7 linked regions of the Danio rerio genome follow. The protein of the gene in region 5 interacts with the protein of the main gene of each other region in a biochemical or structural test. Links are inferred from orthologs where the notes say so. Each region holds a gene or a part of one and is shown on either strand. Other genes may lie near its edges.

The links.
Region 1: the proteins of itcha (region 5) and rnf11b form a complex in vitro, tested with the Homo sapiens proteins (2 studies listed by BioGRID and IntAct). The link is inferred for Danio rerio from reciprocal best matches to the Homo sapiens genes ITCH and RNF11.
Region 2: the proteins of itcha (region 5) and wbp2 form a complex in vitro, tested with the Homo sapiens proteins (2 studies listed by BioGRID). The link is inferred for Danio rerio from reciprocal best matches to the Homo sapiens genes ITCH and WBP2.
Region 3: the proteins of itcha (region 5) and numb form a complex in vitro, tested with the Homo sapiens proteins (3 studies listed by BioGRID). The link is inferred for Danio rerio from reciprocal best matches to the Homo sapiens genes ITCH and NUMB.
Region 4: the proteins of itcha (region 5) and smad3a form a complex in vitro, tested with the Homo sapiens proteins (2 studies listed by BioGRID and IntAct, with this or other methods). The link is inferred for Danio rerio from reciprocal best matches to the Homo sapiens genes ITCH and SMAD3.
Region 6: the proteins of itcha (region 5) and ube2kb form a complex in vitro, tested with the Homo sapiens proteins (2 studies listed by BioGRID). The link is inferred for Danio rerio from reciprocal best matches to the Homo sapiens genes ITCH and UBE2K.
Region 7: the proteins of itcha (region 5) and sh3gl2a form a complex in vitro, tested with the Homo sapiens proteins (2 studies listed by BioGRID, with this or other methods). The link is inferred for Danio rerio from reciprocal best matches to the Homo sapiens genes ITCH and SH3GL2.

The regions. Positions count from the first base shown.
Region 1 is NC_133183.1:18,241,476-18,246,258, forward strand, and holds the start of rnf11b (RING finger protein 11b), read right to left. Parts: upstream 2,934-4,783; 5' UTR 2,506-2,933; coding exon 2,383-2,505; intron 1-2,382. UniProt on the Homo sapiens protein: Essential component of a ubiquitin-editing protein complex, comprising also TNFAIP3, ITCH and TAX1BP1, that ensures the transient nature of inflammatory signaling pathways. Promotes the association of TNFAIP3 to RIPK1 after TNF stimulation.
Region 2 is NC_133187.1:47,462,078-47,466,231, forward strand, and holds part of wbp2 (WW domain-binding protein 2), read left to right. Parts: intron 1-2,145; coding exon 2,146-2,238; intron 2,239-2,327; exon of another isoform or gene 2,328-2,332; coding exon 2,333-2,482; exon of another isoform or gene 2,483-2,555; intron 2,556-2,708; exon of another isoform or gene 2,709-2,730; coding exon 2,731-2,850; exon of another isoform or gene 2,851-4,154. UniProt on the Homo sapiens protein: Acts as a transcriptional coactivator of estrogen and progesterone receptors (ESR1 and PGR) upon hormone activation. In presence of estrogen, binds to ESR1-responsive promoters. Synergizes with YAP1 to enhance PGR activity.
Region 3 is NC_133192.1:57,926,685-57,930,838, forward strand, and holds part of numb (protein numb homolog), read right to left. Parts: intron 3,104-4,154; coding exon 2,798-3,103; intron 1,479-2,797; coding exon 1,335-1,478; intron 1,091-1,334; coding exon 938-1,090; intron 1-937. UniProt on the Homo sapiens protein: Regulates clathrin-mediated receptor endocytosis. Plays a role in the process of neurogenesis.
Region 4 is NC_133182.1:34,192,143-34,196,296, forward strand, and holds part of smad3a (mothers against decapentaplegic homolog 3a), read right to left. Parts: intron 3,607-4,154; coding exon 3,394-3,606; intron 3,278-3,393; coding exon 3,140-3,277; exon of another isoform or gene 1,821-3,139; intron 1,529-1,820; exon of another isoform or gene 974-1,528; coding exon 829-973; intron 1-828. UniProt on the Homo sapiens protein: Receptor-regulated SMAD (R-SMAD) that is an intracellular signal transducer and transcriptional modulator activated by TGF-beta (transforming growth factor) and activin type 1 receptor kinases.
Region 5 is NC_133181.1:60,243,190-60,248,003, reverse strand, and holds the start of itcha (itchy E3 ubiquitin protein ligase a), read left to right. Parts: upstream 1-1,825; 5' UTR 1,826-1,873; intron 1,874-4,814. UniProt on the Homo sapiens protein: Acts as an Acts as an E3 ubiquitin-protein ligase which accepts ubiquitin from an E2 ubiquitin-conjugating enzyme in the form of a thioester and then directly transfers the ubiquitin to targeted substrates.
Region 6 is NC_133176.1:24,900,332-24,904,485, forward strand, and holds part of ube2kb (ubiquitin-conjugating enzyme E2Kb (UBC1 homolog, yeast)), read left to right. Parts: intron 1-1,199; coding exon 1,200-1,282; intron 1,283-1,697; coding exon 1,698-1,797; intron 1,798-3,485; coding exon 3,486-3,614; intron 3,615-4,154. UniProt on the Homo sapiens protein: Accepts ubiquitin from the E1 complex and catalyzes its covalent attachment to other proteins. In vitro, in the presence or in the absence of BRCA1-BARD1 E3 ubiquitin-protein ligase complex, catalyzes the synthesis of 'Lys-48'-linked polyubiquitin chains.
Region 7 is NC_133176.1:28,419,219-28,423,809, forward strand, and holds the start of sh3gl2a (SH3 domain containing GRB2 like 2a, endophilin A1), read right to left. Parts: upstream 3,228-4,591; 5' UTR 3,126-3,227; coding exon 3,081-3,125; intron 1-3,080. UniProt on the Homo sapiens protein: Implicated in synaptic vesicle endocytosis. May recruit other proteins to membranes with high curvature. Required for BDNF-dependent dendrite outgrowth.

The sequences.
Region 1 (4,783 bases), on a different chromosome or scaffold from region 5:
GTTTTGAATGTATGAATTGAATTTGTGTATTTTTTAATCTTGTTTCAAATTTTCTATATAGATTTGTGTATTTTTTACAAATTGGATTTGTGTATTTTTTAATTGTCTTTTGAATTTACGAATTGGATTTGTGTATTTTTTAATCGTGTTTCAAATGTATGAATTGGATTAGTGTATTTTTAAATCATGTTTTGAATTTACAAATTGGATTTGTGTGTTTTTAAATCGTATTTGGAATTCATATATTGTGTATTTTTGAACCGTGTTTCAAACTTACAAATTGGACATGTGTTTTTGAATCATGTTTCGAATGTATGAATTGTGTATTCTTAAACTAAGTTTCTAACTTACGAATTGGATTTGTGTATTTTTACATCATGTTGCAAATGTATGAGTTGGATTAGTGTATTTTTAAATCATATTTGGAATTCATATATTGTGTATTTTTAAACCGTGTTTCATTTCTTTCTTGTCGGCTTAGTCCCTTTATTAATCTGGGGTCGCACAGCAGAATGAATCGCCAACTTATCCAGCAAGTTTTTACGCCTCGGATACCCTTCCAGCCACAACCCATCTCTGGGAAACATCCACACACACATTCACACACACACACTCATACACTACGGACAATTTAGACTACCCAATTCACCTGTACCGCATGTCTTTGGACTGTGGGGGAAACCGGAGCACCCGGAGGAAACCCACGCGAACGCAGGGAGAACATGCAAACTCCACACAGAAACGGAGCCGAGGCTCAAACCAGCGACCCAGCAACCTTCTTGCTGTGAGGCGACAGCACTCCCTTCTGCGCCACTGCTTCGCCTGAACCGTGTTTCAAACTTACAAATTGGATATGTGTATTTTTGAATCATGTTTTGAATGTATGAATTGGACAACAATGTTAGCACAACTGATAAATGAAAGTAGTCCAGCACTTAACGTCCCACCTTCAGCTGAAAAAAACTGAAACTAAGACTGAAGAGAATGTTCCTTTTGCTTAATAAGATTATATTATGTCACATCAGTTGTGAGGAAATTACTGTGTGTGCTTTCAAGATGCATACAAGATTATCTGTGCTTCGGTCAACGGCTCACTATTATTTGTTATAAATGTAAAGTTGGTTTTGTATTTGCACATTATTTCAGTGACAACTTACTTGTGACACACTTCTTATAATGTTTACTATGGTACTTTGAACATTGGGTCTGAAATCACACGCAAGTATGACTTTAAACAACATTATCACTACTTATTTGACTCTGAACAATGTTGTACTTCAATAGTCATTGGCTGCTAATATAATTTCACTATTTAGGATTTGCAAAGACTAATTTTCAGAAATTATATTATTAATGCGAAAGTCTGAATGTCTAAATATTAAACCAATTTTACCTCAATCAGTTTGTTGGAGAGTTCTTGTAAAACAGATAAGGTCAACACAACAAGAGGATGTAACAGCCACCACAGTTGCAAACATTTCAGATCAGACATCTTCTGAGTCATGTTGCTTCTTACAAAACACAGTGACTGGACATAAAACGTTCACTTACGGTGCTACACAAGTTTATCTGCTTCGACATGGTTTGTTTCATCCAACAAAAAGACCCTGGCCAACCCAGTTCTTCCATTTGAACTATGTTTTGTAAAGCATGACATCACTTTAAAATATCATGATCTCATGACTTAGACCTCAACTGATTCCACATGTCCGTAAAATGGGGAAATCCCCGAGTGCAAGGCTTCCCAACACTTCTGACTAAAGGACAATGTAGAGCAGCCCATTGTCATATTATAAGCATTTTTAAGCTCTCTTCCCGGAAGTTTGCAAAAATATATATATAGTGAGGTAGTAACATTGTGTATGTGTACAACATCAGTATTAGTAATATTTAAATTAAATACATATAGTTTGCCCTTACAGTCTGTGAAGAGAAGAAAACAGAATATTTTAAAAGGTTTGTGTAACACTCGAGCAAGGAGAATAACATCGACATGACGTCACAACTGCAAACAAGAATCGTCACAACCAGAATGGTTACCTTTATCGCAATAAAGCTGCTGCTGGTGAATCAACACGCCACGGAGGCGGCAGTAAAGATGAAATAACAGACTGTCCATCTGTCTGGATGGTCTGACGTGAACTGCAGGCCAAGTTTACGTCGAACAAAGAGGATTTAGTATGGCACACACTCTAGGGCGAAATTAAACAGATGGAGCTCCTGCGGGAGCTTGCTGTTGGTGATATATTTACGTCTATTTGCTTGATATTATGAATTGCGAGTGTTCATGTTATGATTGAAGCAGGAGGGTGGACACAAGGCACGTTATATTAGTCAAAAGCAAAGTTTCTTTGTGTATTCTAATGGTTTTTATAAGCTTACCTGATACGGAGGTGGCGGTTCCTGATCTGGATCGTTGGCGTCACCGAAACTGGCCCTGTCTGACTGGGATTCGTGGAGCAAGGAGATATCATCCGAAGTGGGAGATTTCAGACAATTCCCCATCTCCTTTCCAAACTCCTTGTTGTCTAAATGTTGAAATCCTTCCTATCCCTTCCGCCCTTAATCACTCCAACCAGACTTCTGTCCCTTTAAACAGGACGACAAAACCCTCTATCATTCATTTACAACGATCCGATCACCATGAGAGATCCTGACGGAGAAAAACAAACCATTGTCGACACAAAGAAGCCTGGAAAAAGTGTCATACGCGGATATGAAACGATGTTTGTATAAATTCACACAGTCTAAACCTGTGAAACACGTCTTTTTGATTTAAAGCCTCTTTATGTAATGCTGTCCCTTTCTCTTCGTCTTAATAGTAAACACACTGGTTAGCCTTCCAGGAGATAATTTCCACAATATCAAATATGCGCTCGCTCTCAATGGCGACTCAGGCAATGTTGCCTTTCAGGCAGTCATTCTAAGTCCCGCCTCCGCACAGAATCCACCAATCAGTAGGCGTCTTCAGTAGTAAGGGCGCTATTAGTGGATACTCGTCACCCAATTAGATTGCAGACTTACAACACCAACAACAGGGGTTTAAAGCCTTTAAACTTGACCGCATTAGGCCGATTTAAAGGCATAGTTCACTTCAATTGTAAAATTGTCAGTTTGAAAAATAAAACGCACGACTTTCCCCTTTCCCCTGAAGAACAGATTGGAGGAATAACTAAACTGAGTGACTACTACATTATAACCAAATCGATGTCATGATGATTAAAGTGCAATTCGGAGGTAAAAATCCATCCAAGTTAATCCGGAGAAAAAGGGGTCGTCTTTCATATCTTCATTGCTTTTCTTGTTTAAATACCATATGGGAATTCGTATTTCTCAGTTTCCGTTTTTTTTTCCTGCTAGCTACTGATTGTTTCAGTGATTTTTACTGAAATTTCTTAAATGTAAAATAAACATGTTGTCATTCAGAGCATACAATGACAATCGTTCAAAATTACAGATATGCCATGTCAGAATTACTAGCCCCCTTATGTATATTTTCCCCCAATTTCTGTTTATCAGAGTTTTTTTCAACATTTCTAAACACGATAGTTTTAATAACTTATCTTTAATAACATGACAGTATAATGATGACCGTAAATAATGTTTTACTAGATATTTTTCAAGAAACTAGTATTCAGATTAAAGTGACATTTAAAGGCTTAACTAGGTTAATTAGGTTAACTAGGCAGGATAGGTTAATTAGGCAAGTTATTGTATAACGATGGTTTGTTCTGTAGACTATCAAAAAAAAAAAATAGCTTAAAAGGGCCAGTAATTATGACCTTAAAATGGTTTTTAAAAAACTAAAAACTGCTTTTATTCTAGTCTAAATAAAACAAATAAGATTTTTACCAGAAGAAAAAATATTATCAGACATACTGTTAAAATCTACTTGCTCTGTTAAACATAATTTCAGAAAAATTTAAAAAAAGAAAAAAAAATCTAAATTCTGACTTTAACTGTATGTGTTTATATATTTTATTTAGACAATACCATTCCAATGTTTTAACTTCAGAGGAATAAGAATAATTGGTGGATATAGATGTTTTATAACATTTTATTTCACTCTGAATGGTACTATTTTTAGTTGACACTTTATCAAATTGAAAGCGACTAATTACTGTCAAGACTATAACTCTTTAACTAATTTCTGGGTAAACTCTTTAAAAAAGCCCCCTTAAAGCTCAAAAAAGAAAGTCAGTTGGCATTTCTGTGTTGAGTTTGCATGTTCTCACATATTTGGCAAAAAAAAAAAAAGACAAAAATAGTAAAATCATTTGAAAGATGAGACTTTGTTTTTACTCTAATTAAAACTACAACAAAAATGTTATTTTATTACTGGATTTAAGGTTTGTGGAAACATGTATAATTAATTTTTATTCATCATCAACAAAGTACTAAAAATCAATAGTATTTAAAGATCATTCATTTGTTAATTTTACTTTGGCTTTGTCACTTATTTATCAGCAGTCGCCACAGCCAAATGAACCGCCAACTATTCCGGCATATGTTTTACACAGCGGATGGCCTTCCAGCCACAACCCAGTACTGGGTAACACCCATAACACCATCAAATTCACACACTCATAAACTAAGGCCAATTTAGCTTATTCAATTCCCCTATGGCGCATGTCAGTGGGGGTAACCGGAGCACCCCGAGGAAACCCACATGAACTTGGGGAGAACATGCAAACTCCATGCAGAAATGCCAACTGGCCCAGCCGGGACTCGAATCAGCGACCTTCTTGCTGTGAGGTGACAATGTTAACCACTGTGCCTTTAT
Region 2 (4,154 bases), on a different chromosome or scaffold from region 5:
ACTCTTTGTGGTCGTTAAAAATCCCAGGACGTCCTTCGAAGAGTAGGGGTTTAAGGCCAAATCTGCCCACTGGCCTCTGTCCATCATGGCCTCCTAACCATTCCCATATCATAATTGGCATATCATCTCTCTGTCTCCTCTCCACCAAAGCAGCTGGTGTGTGTTGTGCGGTCTGGTGCAATATGGCTGCCGTCGTGTCATCCAGGTGGATGCTGCACACTGGTGGTGGATGAGGAGATCCCCCTCTATTGTGTAAAGCGCTTTGTTTGTCTAGAAAAGTGCTATACAAATGTAAGGAATTAATATATATATAAATTCTGTTAAGATGTTGAGTGATACATCAATCAAAATGACTAAAAGTTAAACTTTGTATAACTTTAAAAAATTATTTGAAACCTGATCAACTTATAAAAATAAGTTAAAGCAGCATAAAAATATTTGTTGTCTCGACCAATTGATTTTATGTTTACAATGAGTTAAGTAGTTGTTGAGATGACTAGAAAAGTTCATTTGATTCAACTTAAAAAGTTAAATCAGCAAGATTTTTTAGTGTACTAAAACATTTATTAAAATATGTTCACTAATTGGTGATGCAGTGGCACAGTAGGGAGTGCTGTCGCTCACAGCAAGAAGGTTGCTGGTTCGAGCCTCGGCTGGGTCAGTTGGTGTTTCTGTGTGGAGTTTGCATGTTCTCTCTGTGTTCGCGTGGGTTTCCTCCGCATACTCTGGTTTCCCCCACAGTCCAAAGACATGCGTTGCAGGTAAATTGGGTAGGCTAAATTGTCCGAACTGTTTGAGTGTGAATGAGAGTGTATGGATGTTTCCCAGAGATGAGTTGCCGTTGAAAGGGCAGCTGCTGTGTAAAACACGTGCTTGATAAGTTGGCGGTTCATTCCACTGTGGCGACCCTGGATTAATAAAGGGACTAAGCCGACAAGAAAATGAATGATAAATGAATGTTTATTAATTGTACGTATAAAAGACAACTTAAATGTTAAAAGATCAACTAAGTATAAATAAGATTAAATAAAAATGTAAAGTTGAAGTGCAAAAAAAGCTTACATGAAGCTAAATAGAAATTGAAAACATTAAAGAATATTAAATAATTTATATATAAATTATAATATATATTAAATAAAAATAAAAAAACTACTAAAAATGTGAATGGGCGGCACGGAGGCTCAGTGGTTTGAGTTCTGGCTAGGTCAGTTGGCATTTCTGTGTGTAGTTTGCATGTTCTCCCCGTGTTGGTGTGGGTTTCCTCTGGGTGCTCCTGTTTCCCCCACAGTCCAAGCACATGTGCTATAGGTGAATTGGCCACTAAATTGGCCATAATGTCTGAGTGTATGAACGTGAGAGTGTATGGGTGTTTCCCAGCTCTGGGCTGCGGCTGGAAGGGCATCCGCTGTGTAAAACATATGCTGGAATAGTTGGCGGTTCATTCCGCTGTAGCAACCCCTGGTAAATAAGGGACTAAGCTGAAGGAAAATTAATGATTGAATAAATGAATGAACGAATGAATATACATTCATTCATTCATTCATTTTCTTGTCGGCTTAGTCCCTTTATTAATTCGGGGTCGCCACAGAGGAATGAACCGCCAACTTATCCAGCAATTTTGTTTTGCGCAGCGGATGCCGCTCCAGCTGCAACTCATCTCTGGGAAACATCCACACACACACACTCATACACTACGGACAACTTGGCCTACCCAATGCACCTGTACCGCATGTCTTTGGACTGTGGGGGAAACCGGAGCACCCGGAGGAAACCCACGCGAAAGAAGGGAGAACATGCAAACTCCACACAGAAATGTCAACTGAGCCGAGGTTCGAACCAGTGACCTTCTTGCTGTGAGGCGACAGCACTACCTATTGTGCCACTGCCTCGCCTGAATAAACATAAATTAACTAAAAATAAAAAATGTAAAAAAAGGCAGTTTCGTATACCATGTGAACAGACAAAAGTAATCAGATCAAGACTCTTCTTGAATTTTGATTTCAATCAAATGTAGAGTCCTGGTTTGAGTTAATCTGAACATGAAAAGGAAGCACACATGTACTTGTGTGGAAGTAAACAGATCTACAGTATAGCATGTACTGTAAATATACTGTAAATACAAGTGTGTTTGCATTATTGTTCCAGGTGGTTGGGAAGGATCTGCAACCTTCAAGCTGATCTTTAGCGCTGGAGGAGCGATCGAGTTTGGTCAGCGCATGTTACATGTGGCAGAGCAGGGTACGTTTGTGCTCAACCAGTTTCAAAATAAGAGTCTCATCATTAAGCAGTCAAACTGATGTGGATGTGCATGACCTCTCTTTCTTTACCTCAGCATCCAGAGGGCAACCGGTGACTGTAAACTTCGGCTGTCCTTACATGGCGAACGGTGCGTACGCTTTTCCTCCACCTCCTCCTGCTAACGGCATGTATCCTGCCGGGCCTCCTCCACCTGGATACGCCTACCCTGGACCTCCACCTCCAGGTAATAACATGCACTTAAAGTCCACATCAACTGGAAGCTGCGACCGTTTTTCTTTCAAATTGTGACGCAGTTCCTAGAAAAACAGAATATTAAACGAGCAAACAGTGGGCGTGGCTTGTTTTTTCTTCTGCGATCTGATTGGATGTAGAAAAATTGGTGTTTCATTCTGAAAGATGGTGAAAAGAGTTTGGGGAGCATTATTACAACCTCACAGTCTCCTCCTTACCATGTTATTTTGTGTGCTTTAGGTGGGTTTTACCCCAGTCCTCCTGTGTTTGATGGACCAGCAGCCTACATGCCTCCTCCTCCATACACTGCTCCAGTGGATCATGCTCCGCTCGACCCAGACCTGCCCAGAACCGCTGCTGGTATGACCCACTTCTAGAAGATGCTGAACTTCTGCAGCCGGATTCTTAAAGGGATAGTTCACGCAAAAAAAGAAATTTGTTTACCATTTATTTGCACTCAAGTGGCTCTAAAGCTGGAATTATACTTGTGCCTGGCGCCGCATCGCGCACCTTTGCTGACTGCGTGCGCACCTCGCAAAACGGATGAGGCTTTTATACTCGCCGCGTTCGCCGTTGTGATAATCTTTAAAACGACAGGGGCGGTCAAAAGAAACCCACCCTAAAATCAGACGAATAAACAGAGAAGTTTCTGGAAGTACGTCATATCATAATGTCGTTCAATATTTTTAAACTAATTATTTTGTATTGTTTTTATAAAGTATTTTAATGATTATAAGCATTTTTATAACCATTTAAGTCTTTTTTAATCAAACTTTAATGCATCACTTGCTTTTGTCCATAACTCGGACAGTTTTACTTTTTAAAGCTTCACAAGAGAACATGAGTTCCTCTACAAATATATCTTTATTATGGCAAGAATAAAAGCAAAAAATAAAAAGTACACTTACTAAAAAAATACAGATTTATTTTTTTTTGGATTTAGCCCGATCCATAAACATACGTTAGTGTAAAAGCTATGACTGATGGAAAAACATATTCTGTAATTGTATACCTGAGTCTTCAATTTTGCCATGATTTCTTTCGGCATAAACAAACTTATCCCTCAGGTTTTTCCAATTTTTTTAGCATAAACTTTCCTCCTTTCCCACTGCTGTTGTTATTTCTAGCAAATTATTATTGGTCATCACTTGCTTTTGTTTATATCTCGAACAGTTATACCTATTACAATTTATTAAAATATTAATGACAACAGAACTTGAGTCGCTCTACAAATAAATGTTTTATTATCGCAAAAATAAAAGCAAAAAAAAAGCACACTGACTAAAAAATACAGATGTTACACAAAAATACACAATTCACACATTACTGTCTGGCTAGTTTCTGTCCTCTACTTATGCTAAAAAGGAAATGATGGTCCAACATTCCTGACCATTATCACCAGTAAAGCCCAGAGAAGCAGGCCATCAGTATATCTATTCCTTTCCAGTTATCAAAAATAATTTTATGACTTCATCATAGTTTTGTAACTATTAAATAGTTTTTAATACAAAATTAAACTAAATACATGCGTGTAAAAACCTATGACTGGTGGAAAAACATTCTGTAATTGTGTACATTTTGTCATGGCCTCTCTTGGTTTTCAAAAACTTATCCTTCAGGTTTTTCCAAACCTTTTAACAAAAACTTTCTCCTTTCCCACTGCT
Region 3 (4,154 bases), on a different chromosome or scaffold from region 5:
AGAAACAGTTAATGGTTGCGTCCAAAACCGTATACTTCCATACTATATAGTACGCTAAGATCAGTATGCGAGCAGAGTAGTATGTACGAATTCGTAGAATTTAAAACTCAGTATACGAGAAGTACTCAGATGACCTACTACTTCCGGCGAGATTCTGGAGTGTGCATCCCATGCATGCTGCGCTATCCCATGATGCCCCGCAAGATAATTCATGAATGGGAGTGAAGTGACGCAACTGACGCAGGTAGGTCACGTGACCATGACAAAATGGCGGATGTATTACGTCCGAATTCCGTTCATACTTTTCACATTCATACTGTATAGAACGTACTTTTCTAACGGCTGAGTAGTACGTTTAAAAACAAATGCAGTACCTACTGAGTAGTGGGCGGTTTCAGATGCATCCAATGTCTATTTGTCAATATTTTTGTCGCTAGGCAACCACTGAATCAGCTGAGTTTTGCGCACGAGTGTTGCTGTTGATATTGTTATAATTGTAATTTTTAATATTGTGACATTCAAGATCTGTGAGTCATTCAGCACTGGCTAACTCGAAATAACAACCACACGTCTCTCCTCCATCTTCAAATGTCTCCATAGTCATCATGACAACACAAACACTGCAGGCACCTCGATGGAAATCCCGCCTCTGCTTTCATTTGATTGGACAATGAAACAGACGCGACTGACGTAACGCGCTTTTCCCGCTCAGAGTTGACCTGCGAGCACACAGAGCGCAACAGCAAAAACTTGAGGAGCAGCAGGCGGTTAAAGGACGAGGTGCGCAGGTTCATCATCAGCATGCAAAACGCTCGCGGCCGTTAGTAAATCATTCAACGCAAAAAACGCAATTGGTGTGGTCGGCCCCTAACACTGAAAGCAAGATGCATTAGTGAGCGCTTGTTCTGCATGGCCAGCAGGAAGCCTGTGCTCTTACCTGTGTGTGCTGCGTGTGCCGGGGCTGTGTTTGGGGCTTTGGCCCAGGGGTTAGTCTCGCGGACGGGCAACGGTGGTGGCGGCAGCACAGGTGAGTTAGCTGCAGTGGTTACAGTGACGCTAGGCGGAGGGAAGGCAGGAACTGCGCCATTAACTACAGCAGCAGACAGGACCAGAAGATTAGAGACAAAGCCGGACACATACACACACGCAGGCGTTCACACACACACACACACACACACACTAGGGGTTGCAAAGACTAGCTGATTAGCTCTGCCACTACTCTACAGGGATGTAGTAATGAACCACACGCTGGTTTAAAATTGATAAACAGCCAACAGCAGACTAGTGAAGGAGTAAGCATTGATGTAAGCTGTAATATACACACACACACTGACCTGGAGCGGCAGGTGATTGTGGTGAGGAGGCTGGTTTGGGCATGGGTGCAGAGGAGAAGGGGTCTTCAGGAGGCCCGCTGAAGGTGGACGTGATCTGAGTGCACAGAGAGCTGATGCTGTCCACCTCACCCTCCACCTCCGGCACTGACACACACACACACAAACACACACACACACACACACACACACACACACACACACACACACACACACACACACATTTATATCATCTAATGAAAACTACAGCATCGTCACACAGACAGAAGGATGTCCCTTTTCCAGGCTGTTATTTTAATAGTAGTTGGTGCTCTAGGCTAGTTTTAAGAGTAGATGGCGCTTTAGGCTTGTTTTAATAGTAGATAGCGCTCTAGGCTAGTTTAACAGCAGACAACACTCTAGGCTAGTTTAACAGCAGACAACGCTCTAGGCTAGTTTAACAGCAGACAGCGCTCTAGGCTAGTTTAACAGCAGACGGCGCTCTAGGCTAGTTTAACAGCAGACGGCGCTCTAGGCTAGTTTTAAGAGTAGATGGCGCTCTAGGCTAGTTTTAAGAGTAGATGGCGCTCTAGGCTAGTTTAACAGCAGATGGCGCTCTAGGCTAGTTTTACAGCAGACAACACTCTAGGCTAGTTTTAAGAGTAGATGGCGCTCTAGGCTAGTTTAACAGCAGACGGCGCTCTAGGCTAGTTTAACAGCAGACGGCGCTCTAGGCTAGTTTAACAGCAGATGGCGCTCTAAGCTAGTTTAACAGCAGATGGCGCTCTAAGCTAGTTTAACAGCAGATGGTGCTCTAAGCTAGTTTAACAGCAGATGGCGCTCTAAGCTAGTTTAACAGCAGATGGCGCTCTAAGCTAGTTTAACAGCAGATGGCGCTCTAGGCTAGTTTTTAATTGTAGATGGCGCTCTAGGCTAGTTTTAAGAGTAGATGGCGCTCTAGGCTAGTTTTAAGAGTAGATGGCGCTCTAGGCTAGTTTTTAATAGTAGATGGCGCTCTAGGCTAGTTTAACAGCAGACGGCGCTCCAGGCTAGTTTTTAACAGTAGATGGCGCTCTAGGCTAGTTTAACAGCAGACAGTGCTCTAGGCTAGATTTTAATAGTAGACAGTGCTCTAGGCTAGATTTTAATAGTAGACAGTGCTCTAGGCTAGATTTTAATAGTAGATGGCGCTTTAGGCGAGTTATTAACAGCAGACAGTGCTCTAGGCTAGTTTAACAGCAGACGACGCTTTAGGATAGTTTACCAGCAGATGGTGCTCTAGGCTAGTTTAACAGCAGATGGCGCTCTAGGCTAGTTTTTAACAGTAGATGATGTTTGCCCCATGGAACATTAATCCGCATCGGTTTCTGTTTTCCCGTTTGAATTGACTTGTATGCAATTTAAAAGTGTAACCTAATTCCGTGTTTGGTGTGAACAAGTTGTTTTTTTTAAATATGATGAAAATGTAGCTGCTGATGGGGCATTACCAGTGTTTTTGATGGGGAAGTCAGACTTGCGCTGCATGGTGGAGGGCAGCTCGTTCATGCGCAGCGACATCTGCCGCTTAAAGGGCGATGTCTTTTGGCTGAGCGCCGGGAAGCCCCTGAAGGAGCCTTGGCGAGCGAGAGCCTCCACAGGAGCGTGCCGGCGCGGGATGACATGAGGATTTCCGTCCTGCAGGCCCAGCGGAGCCATGGGCAGAGGAGGAGATGAGGAGCCATTGGGGCCCGCCAGAGTCACCACCACTGGGTTACAGGAGCCGCCGGAAGAGCTGCTTATCACTAAATCTGAGTCTGAGAGAGAGAGAGGTTATTGTTTTTATAATCATATTAGTCATTTTCCTATTTCTGTATGTATCAAATTTTTTTTTTGATAATGTATCTATGATATACACTCGCCGGCCACTTTATTAGGTACAGCTCTTCAACTGCTCGTTAACGCAAATTTCCAATCAGCCAATCACATGGCAGCAACTCAATGCATTTAGGCATGTAGTCAAGATGGTCAAGATAATCTGCTGCAGTTCAAAGCGAACATCAGAATGGGGAAGAAAGAGGATTTAAGTGACTTTGAACGTGGCATGGTTGTTGATTTCAGAAACTGCTGATCTACTGGGATTTTCACGCACAACCATCTCTAGGGTTTACAGAGAATGGTCCAACAAAGAGGAAATATCCAGTGAGCGGCAGTTCTGTGGGCGCAAATGACTTGTTGATGAGGCCAGAGGTCAGAGGAGAATGGCCAGACTGGTTCCAGCTGATAGAAAGGCAACAGTAACTCAAATAAGCACTCGTTACAACCGAGCTCTGCAGAAGAGCATCTCTGAACACACAACACGTCCAACCTTGAGGCGGATGGGCTACAGCAGCAGAAGAGCACACCGGGTGCTGCTCCTGTCAGCTAAGAACAGGAAACTGAGGCTACAATTCACACAGACTCACCAAAACTGGACAATAGAAGATTGGAGAAACGTTGCTGCTCTGATGAGTCTCCATTTCTGCTGACACATTCGGATGCTCGGCTCACAATTTGGCCTCAGCAACATGAAAGCATGGATCATCCTGCCTTGTATCAGCGGTTCAGGCTGGTGGTGGTGGTGTAATGGTGTGGGGGAGATTTTCTTTGGGTCCATTAGTACCAATTGAGCATCAACGCCACAGCCTACCTGAGTATTTCTGCTGACCATGTCCATCCCTTTATGAGCACAGTGTCTCCATCTTCTGATGGCTACTTCCAGCAGGATAACGCAGCATGTCATAAAGCTCAATCATCTCAGACTGAACACGACAATGAGTTCACTGTACTCAAATGGCCTACACAGTTACCAGATATCAATGCAATAGA
Region 4 (4,154 bases), on a different chromosome or scaffold from region 5:
ATGACCCAAGAAGATTTTTAGAAAACAAAAGCAGCAAAAGAACCGTCAATATTGCCATTTGAAAGACTTTGTATGCCTTTTTCTGATAAGTCTAATATTGATCTAGCTAAATCCATGTGGTTAATTTTAAGAATTTAAAGCGCTTTTGGAGAGCAATATGGGAAAGGTTCCTGAATAATTTGTAGAGAAAACTATTAACATGTTCTGTAAATGTACATATTATATGAAGTATTTTTCCACATAAAAAGTATTTTTTTGTTGTTGACAGATGTTAGTTTTCACTTTATTTCTACATCTCACATCATCAAATGCACCTTGATTAGTTTAGATTGTTTAGATAATTATTTTGGGAAATAAATATTCAGTGAATATATATATATATATATTTTTTTTAAATACATGTAACACGTAATGCCATGACATATCTTCAGTACTATAATCATTCTAAGAATATCTGTTTATCAACCATCATCAGTTATCAACACTAGCCTATGAATTATCAGTAATTTCCAAAATTAATTTGTTGCACTGCTAATATTAAGACCTAATCAAGTTCTACCATTGAAATCAAATTAAAGCAATCTAAATGCAAAAACAATCATTACTACAATTATTCCATTTATTATTCAGCAGCTACTTTCTACAAAAACTGATTACGACAAATCAGAAATCAAAGAATTTAACAGGAAGCAAAAGAGGCTTCTGTGGTTTTGGGTAACACCACTTCACAAGTGAGGTAAAAGTCTTTGAGTGAGTCAAATCAAGGCCACATTCCAGGAGTGGTAGGCAAGATGATAGATAAGAAGGAAGTAATTTCAGAAATCATACCTGTACTCGGCTCCCCAGCCCTTCACAAAGCTCATGCGAATGGTGCACATGCGTGTGAGCTGGTATACAGCCTCAAAGCCCTGATTCACAGACTGGGCCAACAGGGCTGCAAACTCCTGATTATTAAAGATCTTCAGATTACAGCCTGGATGGACACAAAGCAAAGTTCATATATCAATAACAAACTAAACTAAAACGGCTAAACTGATTTGGTGTTAGTGTTGAGTTAGTTGCTTCAAAAAAGTAGTTAATTAATCACATCAGTAAAATTATATTTAAATTACTTTTGCAGTCACTTTGTCTGAAAGGTAATTTAATTACTTGACTCGGTACTACTAAATATTCATATAAGTCTTACCGCATTAATGGACAATTGAAATTAAACTTTTTAATCTGAGCCAAACAGGACCTTTTTTTTTAGATATTAACATTTAAAATATTTAACATTAAATGGATCAATACAAAAATAAAACAACAATTTTTTTTTTTAATTCAAAGATTTTTATTAAAATTGTTGGACAAATTAAACTAGTGTTGTCACAATACTGGAATTTGATACTAATCAATTTTAAAAACGTACGTTTCCCGCAAACATTTGAGCGCTTTTGAACATGTTCTTAAACACCACTGATTTGCCATTGTGTTCACATGCTCAACAGAAATGAATGTGATTGGTCATGAAGGTCATCAGTTCACCAAACTCACAGCTGTTTACTGAGTGTAAACACAGATACAGGAGCACTGGACCATTTTAAAGCCGCGATTCAACTGTGTACTGCTCGTATGTCAGCTTATAGACATACCAGCTTATTGACGTCACTTTGAAACACTCCAGTTTACACTTAATAAACATCGGTGAGTTCGGTGAACTAATGACCTTCATGACCAACCACAGTCATTTCTGTTGAACACATGAAAACAATGGCAAATCAGTGCTGTTTTAGCTCCACATCGCTTAAATGTTAGTAGGAAATGGAAGTTTTGATCGGTACTGAATTCCAGTATCGTGACAACACTGAATCGAACAATCTTTAGTTGAAAAATCGAGTTATCAAGCAAAAGCACACAATTACTCTACTTCTCTTTATTCATACCCTATATTTTCATGAACTAATTTCTCACTCAATTTGTTATTATGTGCAACTGTCTTAATAAATGTAACCTTCTTTAGTTGAAAAATTTAATTATTCTGTAAACTATATTTGTATAACAAATACAAAATTACTTTTAACGTGATTTATACAGAACAGCTAATTTTATGTTCACTATTAAAGGAAAGTATATTGTAAGTAACTAGGGGTGTGACGAGATCTCGGGCTACAAGATCTCATGAGATTAAATCGCAATGAGATTTCTCTTTGAGGTGAAAAGTTGTCTTGTTAGTTGCGATGTTATAGTTGAGCGTGTGGGTGAATTTGGCACTAAAAATTGGAGGCAGGATTGGATTAGAACTGTAAATTAAGTGCTTTGAACAAAGTAAACTCTTGGAGACACACATTTAATTCGGCGTGCGGTATCTAATTTCATTAAAACTGCTAGCTCAAAGTTTGTCCAGTCAGTACTTTATAGCAAAATATTTTGCAGGGTTTGCATGTCCTTTATGCCATAACTCATTAAAATATAAGTAAAATAACATTCATTACAAGTTTTATTTTAATAAGCAACTAAATAGTTTTGCATGTTGTGATTTTTTTTTCAGTTGAATAAAAGACTATTTGTCATTCATATATTTCATCATTGAGAATTCCAAAAAATTGTATAAGAATCTTGTCTCGTCTCGTAAACCCAATTTCGTGTCTCATCTCATGGAGTTAGCATTTCATCACACCCGTAAAAGTAACTAAATAAATTACCTGAAAATGAAAAGTAATCCCTTACTATTATTTGTACTTTCTAACTAATTATACCAACACTGTCTGGCACAATAGCTGGGTTTCTATCTCCATTTTGTTAATGCACATTCTGAAGTATCACATGAGAAACGAATGATGCAAATCTTAAAACCCATCGGGCGTAGCAAACATTACACCCTCATAATGCGTGCCTTGTTTACTTTTGGTCACTATGTTGGCCGCTCTACAAGCTTGATGGAAACTGACCTAATTTACATCTGTTATTTTTTTTCTTCTTTCACTTCACGTTAGGATGAAAACCCGGCCAAAGTCAAGGAACCATCATTAATGACTCGGTTCCCTTTTTCAATTTAACTATTCATGAACTTAGTAGATTCTCTGTTGATGATAGCTATTCACAGAGGGTCCCTTGTTTTATCTTGAGAGCTGTTCATTGAGAGTCTTTAGTTTTATCTCACCAGGTGGAATCTTGCAAACAGTAGCGGGGTGCCAGCCGTAACGCTGATTGCAGTTGGGACTCTGAACAAAAATGGCGCTGTCACTTAGACACTCTGCAAACACTTCACCTCCAATGTAATACAAACGCACACCCCGGCCTGCGAAAACAAAAGATTGTCACATAAGTAAGGAAATCAAACACATTACTATAAGTAAAAGCCATTTTAAATCAGTTTGTGTTATAAATAGGTATTTGAGACAAATGTGTGTGTACCAATGTGTCTGCGTGTGAGCTCCACAGCAGCGTTTCGGTTCACATTGGACAGCAGTCCGAGACAAAAACGCTCTGAGTTGGACGGGTCTGTGAAGCCATCTACTGTTAAAGAGGGCTGTGAGGCATGGAAAGTTTCTCCTACTCGCTGGTTCAATTCGTAGTAGGAAATAGAGCACCAAAATGCTGGTTCACAGTATGTCACTGGCTGTAGATCTAAAAGAGAGAGAAAAAAGAGCAATGTAAAATGAGAATCAGCGAGGCACAGACAGACATAGAAAGAGGCAGAGGGAAAAAATAGAAAGAAACACGAATGAAAAAAAGACAGGAAGAGGAAAAACAAACAAGTGAGTTGGGATCCCTGAAGAGACATGGGGGCTGGAAACTGACGACACTGTGATGTCAAGAGCAAATGTTACTTCCCAGAAATAAAGGCTGAATCGGGAAATGCCATCACTTAGAGGTAAAAAATTACAGGCTTATGGAAATGGCCATTCTCTGTGCCACACACACACCACTGTGGAGAAATCACATGTGGGATCTGCAGAAGTCCAATCTGGTACAATAGGGAATTGTGGGCCCTCCCTTCGTAAGATGAACAGGATGTTTAGTGTGGGTGGTTTTCATCAAAGTTGTTTTGGGGACATTTAACAATCTATTTCTTCTGAGAAATTGAAAGCACAAATTAACAAATAGTTTGTCGAACTATTCTAAATATGCACAGTCAGCATTTACTAACCTAGGTCTCACTTAACAGTTCTTGG
Region 5 (4,814 bases):
GAACAAACATCTTTATTTATAATCTATTTATTCATATTCTTTGATTATTGTTTTATTATATTGTAAAATGACAGTGAATTAATGAATGAACTAATAAATGAAAGAATGAATTAATGAATAATATATTCTAATAGGCTATTACCATTGCATAATCTGACATTTATTTTCATGTTATGTAATTTATTGCAACTATCGACACTTTTTCTCACAAGTTTTATGTTTTCTATGTACTACATTTCCACCCTGTATACTCTATATTAAGATGATATATGCTATTTATGACCACATGACTATAGTTTATACTATTTACGACTATAGATGTGACCGATTAACCGTCTAACTAACCAAATTAAAATAAATAAATAAATAAATTTAACTTAGCATACCATATTATTATTATTGGCGACGCAGTGGTGCAGTAGGTTCGAGCCTCGGCTGGGTCAGCTGGCATTTTTGTGTGGAGTTTGCATGTTCTCCCCGCATTCGCGTGGGTTTTCTCCAGGTGCTCCAAAGCAGTCAAAAGACATGCTGTACATGTGAATTGGGTAGGCTAAATTGACCGTAGTGTATCTGTGTAAATGAGTGTGTATGGATGTTTCCCAGTGACCGGTTGCAGCTGGAAGGGCATTCACTGCGTAAAACATATGCTGGAAAAGTTAGCAATTCATTCCACTGTGGCAACCCTGGATTAATAAAGGGACTAAGCCGAAAAGAAAAGAAATAGATGAATAAATGAATAAGCACTTGCACAGATAAATAAATAAATAAATAAATAAATAAATACCTTAACACAGTATATTAATATTATTTAGAAATAATGTCATGGTACTAAAACCATGCACAAATAAATATGCAAAAATGCAGTGACAGCTGAGTTCCTAAGTGTTTAATGTTTTTACAAGGACTTGCATAAATAAATAAATCTGTTAAGATACCGCGGTAAAGTTAGTTTGACATTTGACATTCATAAAACATTCGGTTTCAAACCAAATAAATTCTTTGCTCCTGTTATAGTTTAAGCCAAAATATGTCAGCCAGACATAAATATGTGCCCTTTATGTTGCACAAAGCTTAACTTCTTAATTAAAAATAAATTAATTAACCATACGAATAAATTAAACAATTCAACCATATTAAATTATACTATAAAATAAGGACCAACATGTTCAGAAAAAACAACCTGGTTTATTTAATTTATTTTTTAATAATTTAAAAAATACTTTTAATGTAAAAATGATAAAAGTCAATTAAACTATCACACCTTTTGAGATAATAGAATAAAGTCAACTCAAAAAATGACTAAATATTTTATGGTGCACAACCTTTTTGGTTTTTTTACAGTTTTGCCTTTGTTGATTTTATATACAGTAATGAATCCATATTTTCATTAAGTTAAATACACTGTAAACACTTACATGAATTAAACACTATTTGAGACATGAACATTCAAATAGAAACCACAACTATGCCATGTCTATCAAGATCTTTCAGTGAACACCATGGATGATTGTACTACTTTCCCTGTCAAACAGCGCCATCTCGTGAAAGAACAAGCCTATAAATAATCTTAAGAAATCTATTACTGGCTCACCTTGACGTATAGACACACATATCTAGTCTTTCGCTCTTTATATTAGTAAAATACCGCGCAGTGCACACCTTTGTATAAAGAAGCATTGAATAATCCAGATAGACGCGCGCGTCGTCACGTGACGGGGTCGCGCAGATACGTCACTCCGACATGGAGCCTGTGCTGGTGGCGGACCTTTGGTCACCCGGTTGAGATGGAGCAAAGTTTATTAAAACGGCGAAAAGCTGATCTCAGATTCCGTTAAAACTGACATCTAGAAGCATTCCCTGTGATCATAACACGGTAAGATATTAGTGACACACACCTATAGAGGACAGTATGGCTTTAAACCAGCCGTGTTTTGGTAACGCGTTACCGTTAGCTTGTTTGACCGGTGACTGACTACTGGACTCTAGCAGGTGATGTTTTGACAGCTCGTTACTGTACCTTAACTATAGTCTGAAACGATTTACAACGGCCAGTTTTCATTTTCCATTTGATATATGCATGTAGCTTACGTGTAAACATCCGTCTGTTGTTATGCTGAATTTTGTAGCTGCGACACCGACAGTCAGTAACGTTATGTGACGTCACTGCTCTCAAAAGTACTGTAACTGTATGTGTGTTATAACACAACGATGGTATGTACATAAAACTGACCTGTCGTCTTTATCCAAGGCACTGAATGTATATATCACGACATTTACATAGTAACTGTTATGCCATTATAGTTCCATGCAATTGTGTGCACAATTAATGTCTGTTCATGATATAGGCTACCATCTGATGTCATTTCATGGCGCTTTTTAATGTCTTTATACTTTCCAAATTATAAAAAAGTAAGATACAGCAGGTCAACATGGTTACAGAAAGACATTTCTAAAAAGCAGTTTGAATATGAGTTATTTATTTAATCATGCACTAATTTCTGTACATTTCCACACAGTAATCTTTTATTTATTGGTTTAAATAAAATATTGAAATTTAAAAAGATGAATTTTTAGTACAATGTTTAAAGATAGGGCAGCACGATTGCTCTGAGTTTCCTCCAAGTGCTCCGGTTTTCCCCACAAGTCCAAAGACATGCACTATAGGTGAATTGTGTAGGCTGATTTGTCCATTATCTATGTGTGTTAATGAGTGTGTGTGTGTGTTTTCCAGTAATAGGTTGCAGCTGGAACGCCATCCGCTGCATAAAACATGTGCTGGATAAGTTTATTCCGCTGTGGCGGCCCCAGATTAATAAAGAGACTAAGCCGATAGGAAAATAAATGAATGAATGAATGTTTAAAGATATGTATTGTAGCACATTGGACATTTTAATGCACGTTTAAATGCCTATTTAAGAAACTGGAATGTTTCTGACTTAGTGCATGAAAAGCTCACATCCCCTAAAGAAATGTACTTTAAGATTTTGACGGTAGAATAACCTTGGATAAAAGTATCACAGTATCACGGTATTTGATTACTGCCCTAAAATATATTATTTTTAAATGTCTGGGTAAAAAACTAAAACTTGTTTCCCCTTTGAAAACGATATATTTTATTTTCTGAAAGATTTATAATATTTTGAAGCAGTAAACAAGTCAGGCTAAATAATTAAAAGAAATCATTGACTTCTGCTGTTTTAAAAACACAGATTTCTTTACAATTTAAAACGACATCCTTGGACATTTTTTTTTTTGCTGGAGATAGTGTTGTCCTAAAAAAATGTTAGTAAAAATCCTACACATACCTTATGAACAGTATTACAGAAAATGTTGGCGGTTTTAAAACCTTGACTTTTCCAAACCGCAGTATATTTTGAAAACAGTTATCGTCCCATGCCTACTACAGACACAAATATAAATATATATATATATATATATATATATATATATATATATATATATATATATATATATATATATATATATATATATATATATAAAGTGAACACTTAAAAGTATGTTGTCTCTTTAGTAATCTGAAGCAGTCCAAAAATTGATCAGTATATAAAAATCAAGGATTTGCCTGTAGCGTTCAGTCTTAATATATTCAAAACCCCAATAAACAAGTGTTATTCAACGGTTGCAGATTTGTGAAAATCATTTCCTGACAATTGATGAAGTGCTTAAAAATCGTTATAATTCTTTATGTGGTTAACTAACCTCTCTGACAGATTGCTGATATTAGCCGCCACCCTGATTCACTGGCAGGCAGAATTAAACTTGAAAAAGTTAATGATGCATTAGATGAAACTCAAACCTGTTACCATGAATAATAGTTCATTGGTTGATCAATAAACCCCTCAGAATTGTCAGTGTGGAGCTGAAGAAATTAACCAGGCATTAAGACAATGTTTAAACCTTTTAACAGATAATTACTGACAAAAAAAATCTCATATTTGTTTATTGTTTACATATCAAGTTTTTAAGTATAAGACTTGAATAGTCTGCACTCTGCAGGCTGCTGTATGTTTTCATGCTTTTATGCTCTTATTGGAGTTTGACAACAGCAGCACCTATTAAACTTTCATTGTAGTGCAAAGAATGAGAATTATTTATTCCATTTTTTTCCCACAACAGTTGTTGTTTTTTTGGTGAAGATGTTTCTTACAGAGTTAAGGGCTGTTCATATCAAGCATTGCAGCTATAAAGATAATGACAAATCAAATCAAACAACTTTTATTGTCACATCATCAGCAGCATGTGTACTATGATGAGTGAAAAGCTTAGGTGCTGGCTCTGCGTTTCAAAGATTATTTTTAAAAACATACAATCACCCATCCGCTGCATAAAACATGTGCTGGATAAGTTGGCGGTTCATTCCGCTGTGGCGACCCCAGAATAATAATTGGTCTAAGCCGAAAAAAAAATGAATGAATGAATGAATATACAATCATCGGTCACTATTAGGTACACCTTATTAGTGCCTGGTTGGACCCACTTTTGCCTTCAGAACTGCCTCAATCCTTCATGGCAGAAATTCAACAAGGTGCTGGAAATATTCCTCAGTAATTTTGCTCCATATTGACATGATAGCATCACACAGTTGCTGCAGATTTGTCGGCTGCACATTCATGATGCCAATCTCCCGTTCCACCACATCCCAAAGGTGCTCTATTAGATTGAGATCTGGTGACTGTGGAGGCCATTTGAGTGCAGTGAACTCATTGTCAGATTCAAGAAACCAGTCTGAGATGATTCACGCTTTATGACATGGTGTGTTATCCTGCTGGAAGTAGCCATCAGAAGATGGAAAC
Region 6 (4,154 bases), on a different chromosome or scaffold from region 5:
TAACGTGTAATTCTCAGTCGTTTGATCTGCAATGCCCCAACAATTGATTAATAAACCAGTAAGTAACAGTTAAAAAAAAAGTTGCAGCTGAACCTAATCTTGCACTTACTCTTGGTAACATTTAAATGCCTTCTTGTATTTGAATATAAATTGGCAATCACAAAGTACTTACACATTTCAATTTATTTCGATATGAAAGCAGATATCCAATGTGTGACTCCTGTTCTGTACATTTTTTTTAACTGCTGGGAAACCTTCTAGAAGATATTTAAATAGACAGAAATCTTTAGTCAAGGATGAGACACATTTTGAAGTCTGATTCAAATTACATGCAGTGTTTTTACATGCATAGAAAGCATATTAAAATGTTAGCTTTAATATTAATAATAATCTTTTAATAAATGTTGCAATAATGCCCCAAAGGGTGGCACGGTGGCTCTGTGGTTAGCACTGTCACCTCACAGCAAGAAGGTCACTGGTTCGGGTCCCGGCTGGGCCAGTTGGCATTTCTGTGTGCAGTTTGTATGTTCTCTCTGTGTTGGTGTGGGTTTCTTCCGGGTGCTCCGAATTCCTTTATAGTCCAAAGACATGCGTGATAGGTGAATTTAATAAGCTAAATTGGCCATGGTGTATAAGAGTGTGTGTCAATGAGAATGTATGGGTGTTTCCCAGTACTGGGTTGGGGCGACATGCTCTGCATAAAACATATGCTGGAGTACTTGGCAGTTCAATCCCCTGTGATGACCTCTGAAATAGACTAAGCTGAAGGAAAATGAATGAATAATGCATATATTAGGTTAAGAATAAAAGCTTATCAACTACATTTTGTGGTATTTTAAATTATTAAAAACGTCATCCTAATACATGAGTTGGTAAAAGAAAACTGGCAAAGATTTACAATTTTTTTTTTATATAGAGGCAACAAATGATTCCTGTTTTAAATGTTATAGACAAGATGTTTTTGTTTCTGAACATTTGTTACATTGAAAGACGTGATGAATGGAGAAAAAGGAAAGAATATTAATTGTACTCATTTTTTACTCTTGAGTCTCTTCAGTCCCACCTCAATTTCAGATTATTGTTCATTGATGACAATTCTGAGTGCATTAACAAGGCAAAGAAGATCATTCAGAATTTAATATCAACTCGCAGCAAATAAATATATCATAAATTAAAATGAGTTTTGTCATCTTTTTCAGGTGCGGTTTATTACTAAGATCTGGCATCCCAATATAAGTTCTGTTACCGGGGCGATATGTTTGGACATTTTAAAAGACCAGTGGTGAGTGCTTCATTATCATGACTCATCATTTAATTTAATGGTTCAACTAAAAATGAAAACTGATTCAAAGTTAACTCCAAATTAAGTAGTTCCTAACTTTAATGGGTTTCTGTTTTCTGTTGAACACAAAATACAATATCATGAAAATGTTGAAAACCTGTTGACATCCATAGTTGCAAAAACAAATACTAGGGATGTCAGTGGTTACTGGTTTCCATTATTCTTCCAAATATCTTGAATTGTGTTCAACAGAAAAAGGAATGTCCATCAGCTTTTAAACAAGTGGAGGCTGAGTGAATGATAGCAGCATTTTCATTTTGGGTGAACGAACCCTTCAATAATTTTGACACTGCTCTTTCTTTCTCTCCTTCCTGTTCCCTTTTCAAATGATTGTGTCTTCATATCCTGTGCACAGGGCTGCTGCTATGACTCTGCGAACAGTTCTGCTCTCACTACAGGCTCTGTTAGCTGCAGCAGAGCCCGATGATCCACAGGACGCTGTGGTAGCCAATCAGGTACAGTCAAATATGCACTGTCAGTGGCTGCGTTCGAAATCACATACTACTCGAGTAGGTTATTCATCTGAATTTACCTCATGATAGTTAGAAAGGTACGTTTTAAATAGTACAATGCGTGAGTATTATGAATGATTAGAATCATAACTAAAACCTTAATATGTGAAATAAAAAAACATTATCTTTTAACTTTTATTGAATGTGTAAAATGCAAATCTAATTAGATTCACTTTATTTGGTAAACAAAGCAAGTCTCTCGTATATCTACTAAAAGACTGAAAATATGCACTGTATAAAAATCAAGTGAATATTTTCATATTAGTCAATTTTACTGTTATTGATTAAAAACTGAATATAGATTTACAAACATTTACACAAGTAAATAAACAATTAATGATGGGCTAAAAGTCTGCGGAAATAAACAGAATTAATGATGGGCTAAAAACCTGCGGAATTTTGCGCGCACAGATTTCGTGTGGGCCTACACATGACCTACCTGCGTCAGTTGATTTGCTTTGTCCATTCATTAATTTCTCTTACGTGTGGCATCATGGGATAGCGTTGCATCTATTTGATGTGCACTACAGCACTAAGCAATAAGTACTTTTCTTGGGAAGAAGTTTGTTTTGTTTCTAGTCCAAATATCTACATTGCACACACTGAGGAAGGCATTGTGCCGAAACGTTGAATCAAACGTAGAATGTAAAAATAAAAACAGTACGAAGCAATTACTTGATAAGTGCGAATCATTTCCTTTTTGAATAATAGCATTGACAAGATTGATGCACCAAAGAAGTTTCTTTTAAAAATGAGCATGTAGGCCAAACTTCATTAGTCCAAATATCTAAAAATTTCGAAATCACAAAGCATTTTCTAGACAAGCAAAGCATATTGTATTGTCCTGTTTTCCCTTTTGACATAAGATTATTTTGCTTAGCCCACTGGCAGATTATTTAACTTTTTTTTTTACCTTAATTTTGACATATTTCTTAAAACAAGACAGTATGTTTTGCTTGTTTAGAAAATGCTTCTTGATTTTTAAAACTTTTTGGATATTTCGACTGGAAACAAAACAAAGCCGGAGTAGGTAGTAGGTCCTCTGGGTAGGCATGGGCCAGTATAAGATTCTGACGGTATAATAACCTTGGATAAAAATATTAAGGTTTTCATGCTGTTGTGTTTATTATGTTCTTTATATTTCTTCTACTTATAGTTTCACATTTGAAAAGGCATCTTTGGATAATTTTCTTATCTTTGGATATAAATAAGGGTCCATAGCATGCTTGGATGTTGGCGTATAAATGATTTGGTTTTCAGATGTGGGCTGACCAGTAGCTTTTGATGTGGATGTTCCTTTTCTGCTGGAGATACTGTTCCCCTAAAATACTAAATAAAATGGCAGTAAAAGCACTTAACTTGTATATAACGTAAGAATGGTATAACAGAAAATTTAAGCGAATTTAAAAATTTTTTAAATTATTTTTTTTTTAATCTTGAAAACGGTTATTGTCCCATGGCTACCTCCGTGTATTTCTTCACGTATTACTTATTTAGACACACTGCTATATCACAGGGAAGTATGCGATTTCGGATGCAGCCCGTGTCTCTGTCTAAATGAGAATATTGCATGACAATGTGGCTTTGTAAACCTTTTAACAACGTCACTGTTGTCTTTTTTTTTTTTGCAGTATAAGCAGAATCCAGAAATGTTCAAACAAACTGCTCGTCTCTGGTCTCACGTTTACGCTGGTGCTCCTGTGTCCAGTCCAGAGTACACACGCAAAATAGACAAACTTTGTGCAATGGGCTTTGACAAAGTAAGTACTGAATAGTGGCAAAATAAAAAGATGCACTGACTAAAGCAGGGTTTGGCAACTTTGTGACATGTGGTATTATTGGCTTTGTGACATGTGGCACTATTGGCACATTACTTGTTGGAAATTCAAAATGTCCAAAGCTATTGAGGTTCTAATCCTGTCCTGTGTTGTGTTTAGCATGCTGGCTTTTGACTGGCAACTGCTAGTAAAAAAGATTTACTTGTTGGAGATTTCTATCTATCGGTTGTTGATTAATTAAATGGTGGCAGAGCTATATATATATATATATATATATATAATGTATACTAAAATCATTTCATATGTTTAAAACTGGGAAATGAGTAGCACCTGCGGGTTTGATAGATTTGCTATTTATTTCTTACCATTTAACACTTGTATTCTTTTAATACCATAAATTAATTTTTGTCATTGGCCCATGTAAAAACCATTCTTTAAAACAAGATTAATATCATGCACTTAAAAACTGTTTGTTTAATTAACTAATTAATAATTTTTTTTAATAGAGTACTAGTCCATTTA
Region 7 (4,591 bases), on a different chromosome or scaffold from region 5:
TTCACCATTCTCTCTTATACTGCATGTTGAGAATAAAAATAAAAAGTCTTCTAAAAAGACTAAAAAAATTATATTTATGTTCTGTTTGTACTAAAATTGAACATGAGAACATGCAAAATTTGAAATAATTAATTCTAACACTGACTCTGCATAGACTTAAATCCTGTAGGTGCTGGAGATTAGAACAAAACAAATGAGCTGGTTCCAGGAAAGAACAAACTACTGCTTATCACCAAAGTAGGCTTAGGAAATCATTTAAAGATAGTAGGCTTATGATATAAAGTTAATGAGCTTATAAAATTTGAATATTCTATGTTTTGGTGTTGCAACAATAGATAGAGTTAGTTAACCGTTAACACATCGTTTGTTATAATTACTATATTTATAGCCAAATAATATAAGTTAGTATATGGGTGAAAGCACTTTAAAACTAACAAATGTCTACTTCCCTATTCTCTACCAAACTGTGCAGGGCCTTTCTCTCTCAGAGGCTTTTGCCCCTCTGCCATCTGGAACTAAATCTGCCATCTGAGGTAAATCAGCTGGAACAAATGTTTTACCCATTTTGAGCACTGCTGCATTTTCTGAACCGGAGCCATCTCCTCCTGAGGCCAGATAGGGGCTGATCACCAGTTACCTGCACTAGGCACTGTACTATTAACTAGCTTGCCAGTGCATGTTTTTTTCAGTGACTATGTACTCACCTTACAACAGGCTCACCTATTTAACACTACAAAAGGCATTCCATCCTGAAAGTACTATTTTAGGAGGGTGTATAATCTGCTCTCTACAATTTGAAATAGTCTTCATTTCTGTGAAGATGGACAATAGACAGCTCACAATTTGATTAGCATTTAAAAACTTAGCATTTTACTGATAACTTAGCATTTTACTTAGCATTTTTGATAAGCATTTTACTGATAATCTTGAACATACTGTTCAAGTGCAGGAAGCGATGTGCTAAAACACACAACAATAAAACAATATATTTTAATATTTGTAAGGGAAAAACATCTCATTCTTTAGGTGGTAAAATGTCCCACTGTTTAGGGTCATTTTAAAAACACTGGCCTGCCAAGTATGTGGTACAGCTGACAAAAACTTCAACAGAAAAATGTGTGCACTGCAGTAAGCAACGTCCAGAATTTGTAATAGGGGAAAGCAGAAAAAAACATCAGCCATGTTTGGGACAGGCGCTGTGATGCATAAATAGTGCCTTACATCAAAGAAACCTAGAGATAGAAGCTAAAGAAATCTCTACATGTCCAAGTACACTACTGCTCACAAATGAAAAAAACAACAACACGAATTTGTGACACTGTGATCAACCATTTCAAAACACCCAATGGTAAAAAAAATCAAGAAAGATGTTCTCTGATTGCATAATTTTCATCTATTACATGTAATAAAACAGAAATGACATTTTCTGTACATAGGCTCAAAATAAATTCATAGTTGATGAAAACAGAATGTGTGTGTGTGTGTGTGGTCTTTGTGTATACTCAAATAAAAATCACTTTCATAAGACACTTACAAAATCTCTGCATAATTACATACAGCCAAACAGAATAGTCAAAGACAGTTTTCATGAAATCTCACCTCAGTTTTGTGCAACAAATCACAATTGGCTAAAAAGCCAGATGGTGTGAACTAAAGTGTTAGAGTGCTGGAAATGCTTTGTTTTTTTGTTTGTCATTTTAAAACTAAGTGCTCATGAACAAAATACCTTATAAACAAATGCTTGTTGTCTCTCATGGCCTATTCAGGTACACAATTTGAATATAATCTGAATGCTATAGTTTTTGTTTTTATTTTTATTACATTTTATTTTGTTTGGTTAGTAATGGGCAAACCTATGGTTCAAATACAAGCAAGTATTTACTATGCAATTAAATTTCCAAGAATAAATAATGGAGGTAAAACTAGTTAAACCTGCCTCTGCATTTCACAGAGCAGGCACTATATTTTGTCACGACTGCAAGAAGGCTGTGTATAAAGTACACAGCAAGCTGTGAGATGGAGCAGTGTGTTTGAGGAACCATCTGTTCTACAGAGCAGCTCTGAGTCATGCCACCCTCTCCACTCTGCAGCGTGCACTGATGATGTCACAGCCTGACGATTGGTCAGAATGAGACAGATTATGTTGTTTAATGTCAGGCAGCTATGCAAGTCAAAGAATTTCATGTTAAGAACAATGTAAAGGGATGCTGGAGTCATGTTTTTCCGCGTTTGAGATTGTATACTTCAAAATGGCACAATTTAAATCCCAAATTATGTCTACACAAAATTACAGTGAGACATGCATCTCTCATTCCTCTATTAATGCAAGGTGAATCTTTAAACAAGGACACTAGATGGAGAACCAAGAGTAATGCAGCCTCACAAGGTAACCAGAGATTAAATCTAGTTTTATGTCCACTGACACAAACATACAGAAATTTACACATACACAGAAAATAATGATAATAGTTGAAATTAAAATTCAACCAGATTTAGGGGGCTAATATGAAAAAAAATAAAAATAAAATAAAATATATATATATATATATATATATATATATATATATATATATATATATATATATATATATATATATATATATATAAAATGGCAAAAATTCCAATTCCATAAAATTGGACCTAAAGCCTATATGTGGTGGCTTTGGCATCGTGGATTTAAAGTGTCACAGCATCACGACTGCTTTAGAGGGCATCGAGGTCAATTTAAGGATATGAGCTATTATGTAACAGCCCTTATCTACGCATCTTAAAATATTGATGTTCACGCGTTTTCATTTCAACGGTGCTGATAAGAGCACGGAAAAAAAACACAGAACATCCTTCATCCTAACATCTGAACGAAATGCTTTGACAGCGACTAGCCCGATGGCAACATATAGTGCCTTCATTTGTTTATATTACGGTGCGTTGAATAAAGCACACGCTGTTCAGAGTGAAGAGCCGCATTACGATTCAGGACACAAGCTGTTCTGTCTGCTGTAGCACTGCAGCAAACCCATTTTCAGGCTCGTAATGGTCAACAGAACAGAATGCTGAATTCATGTACCGTTGCATCTTACCTGAGTGGCTTTGTGGAATTGTTTCTTCAGTCCCGCTACAGACATGGTTCCGATTGGACTAGTGCTATTCTTCTAACCCCTGGATGAGATGTAAATATGTTCAGAGATACGGGGATGAGAGACGTTCAGAAATAAACCCTCGTACACTGGGAATCACCACACGAGTAGGCTGATTATAGCAGCTGATGATGACGAGGCTGTGACATCACGCGTCAGGTTCCGCCTCCCCACGGATTACAGCTGAGCCCCTCCTCCAGGGGAACCTTCAAGGTTAATTCAAAAAGGCGTTACGCCAACAGGTACATTCAAGACAGGTCAGGGGAGAAACCGTACCGTATATATATATATATATATATATATATATATATATATATATATATATATATATAATAATCAATACTAATAATAATATTAAGAAGAAGAAAAATGGCAGACAGGGGGACTCTAGGGAACACTGAAATTTTGTCGTAAAAAATGCTCTCTCTCTATAGTGGGGATGTGATTTAATATATTTAGATTGTCAGCCAACACTTTCTGGATCAGGTGGTTGGATGGTCCTAAAGCTATCTGGTAACACTTTATAATAGGGTTTCAATAGTTTAAGTTAGTTTATGTGTTTACTATCATAAACAATATGCTTATCACAGTATTTATCTTTGTTAACATTAGTTACTTTAAATAAAGGTAGATCACAGTGCATTAACTAATGGTAATAAGCACAGCTTTGGATTTTAATAATGCATTTGTAAATTATGAAAATGCTGATTATTAATAAATGCTGTACATGTTTTGTTCATTCATGTTTGTAAACACGTGAACTAAAATTAACTAATGGAAACTTTTTGTAAAGTGTGTCCAGATATCCCAGTGTCATAAACCTGTTGCCTTGCTGTAATAGGCATAGGCATTGCAGCCAACATCTGCACACAAAGATTCCAAGAAATCAGCAACATCAACCTTCATAAAAGATTAAAATTACTTATCATTCTTAAACAGGAATGTACAGTAACCACCAGTGTTACATTAAGACAACATGTACAACATGTACAATTTGTAACATTATAAAACAGTACAATTTAATCAATTATATAATACAGTGGTTAAAAATGTGTCTCACAAAGTACTCCCATCTCTGCAAATTTTGCATGACTACCTGTTAAAAGACCAGACAGAACTTTTTAGTTGCTTATTAGAAAAAATAGGGACCAGTTTTGTGAAACACTGCTATGACATCTTATGTATTTCAAGTTTATGTTATCTATCAGCAGTTAATATTACCTATTTGCATAATATTAAAATTGTCATTCTGCCCTTGTAGTGCTCATCCACAGCAGTCTGTCATAAGGAACAGCTCAGACAGCAAACTTGCAGCTGGATTGACAGAGGTCAGGTATCCACTTCGGCCATTTCATTTAGCTGATCCAGGTGGTTTAAGGCAGTCAGTTGAAATGCTCTGCAAGCTTCTACCTATGTCAGGGCAAAAGTATTTTCCATGGACTCCAGAATCTAGA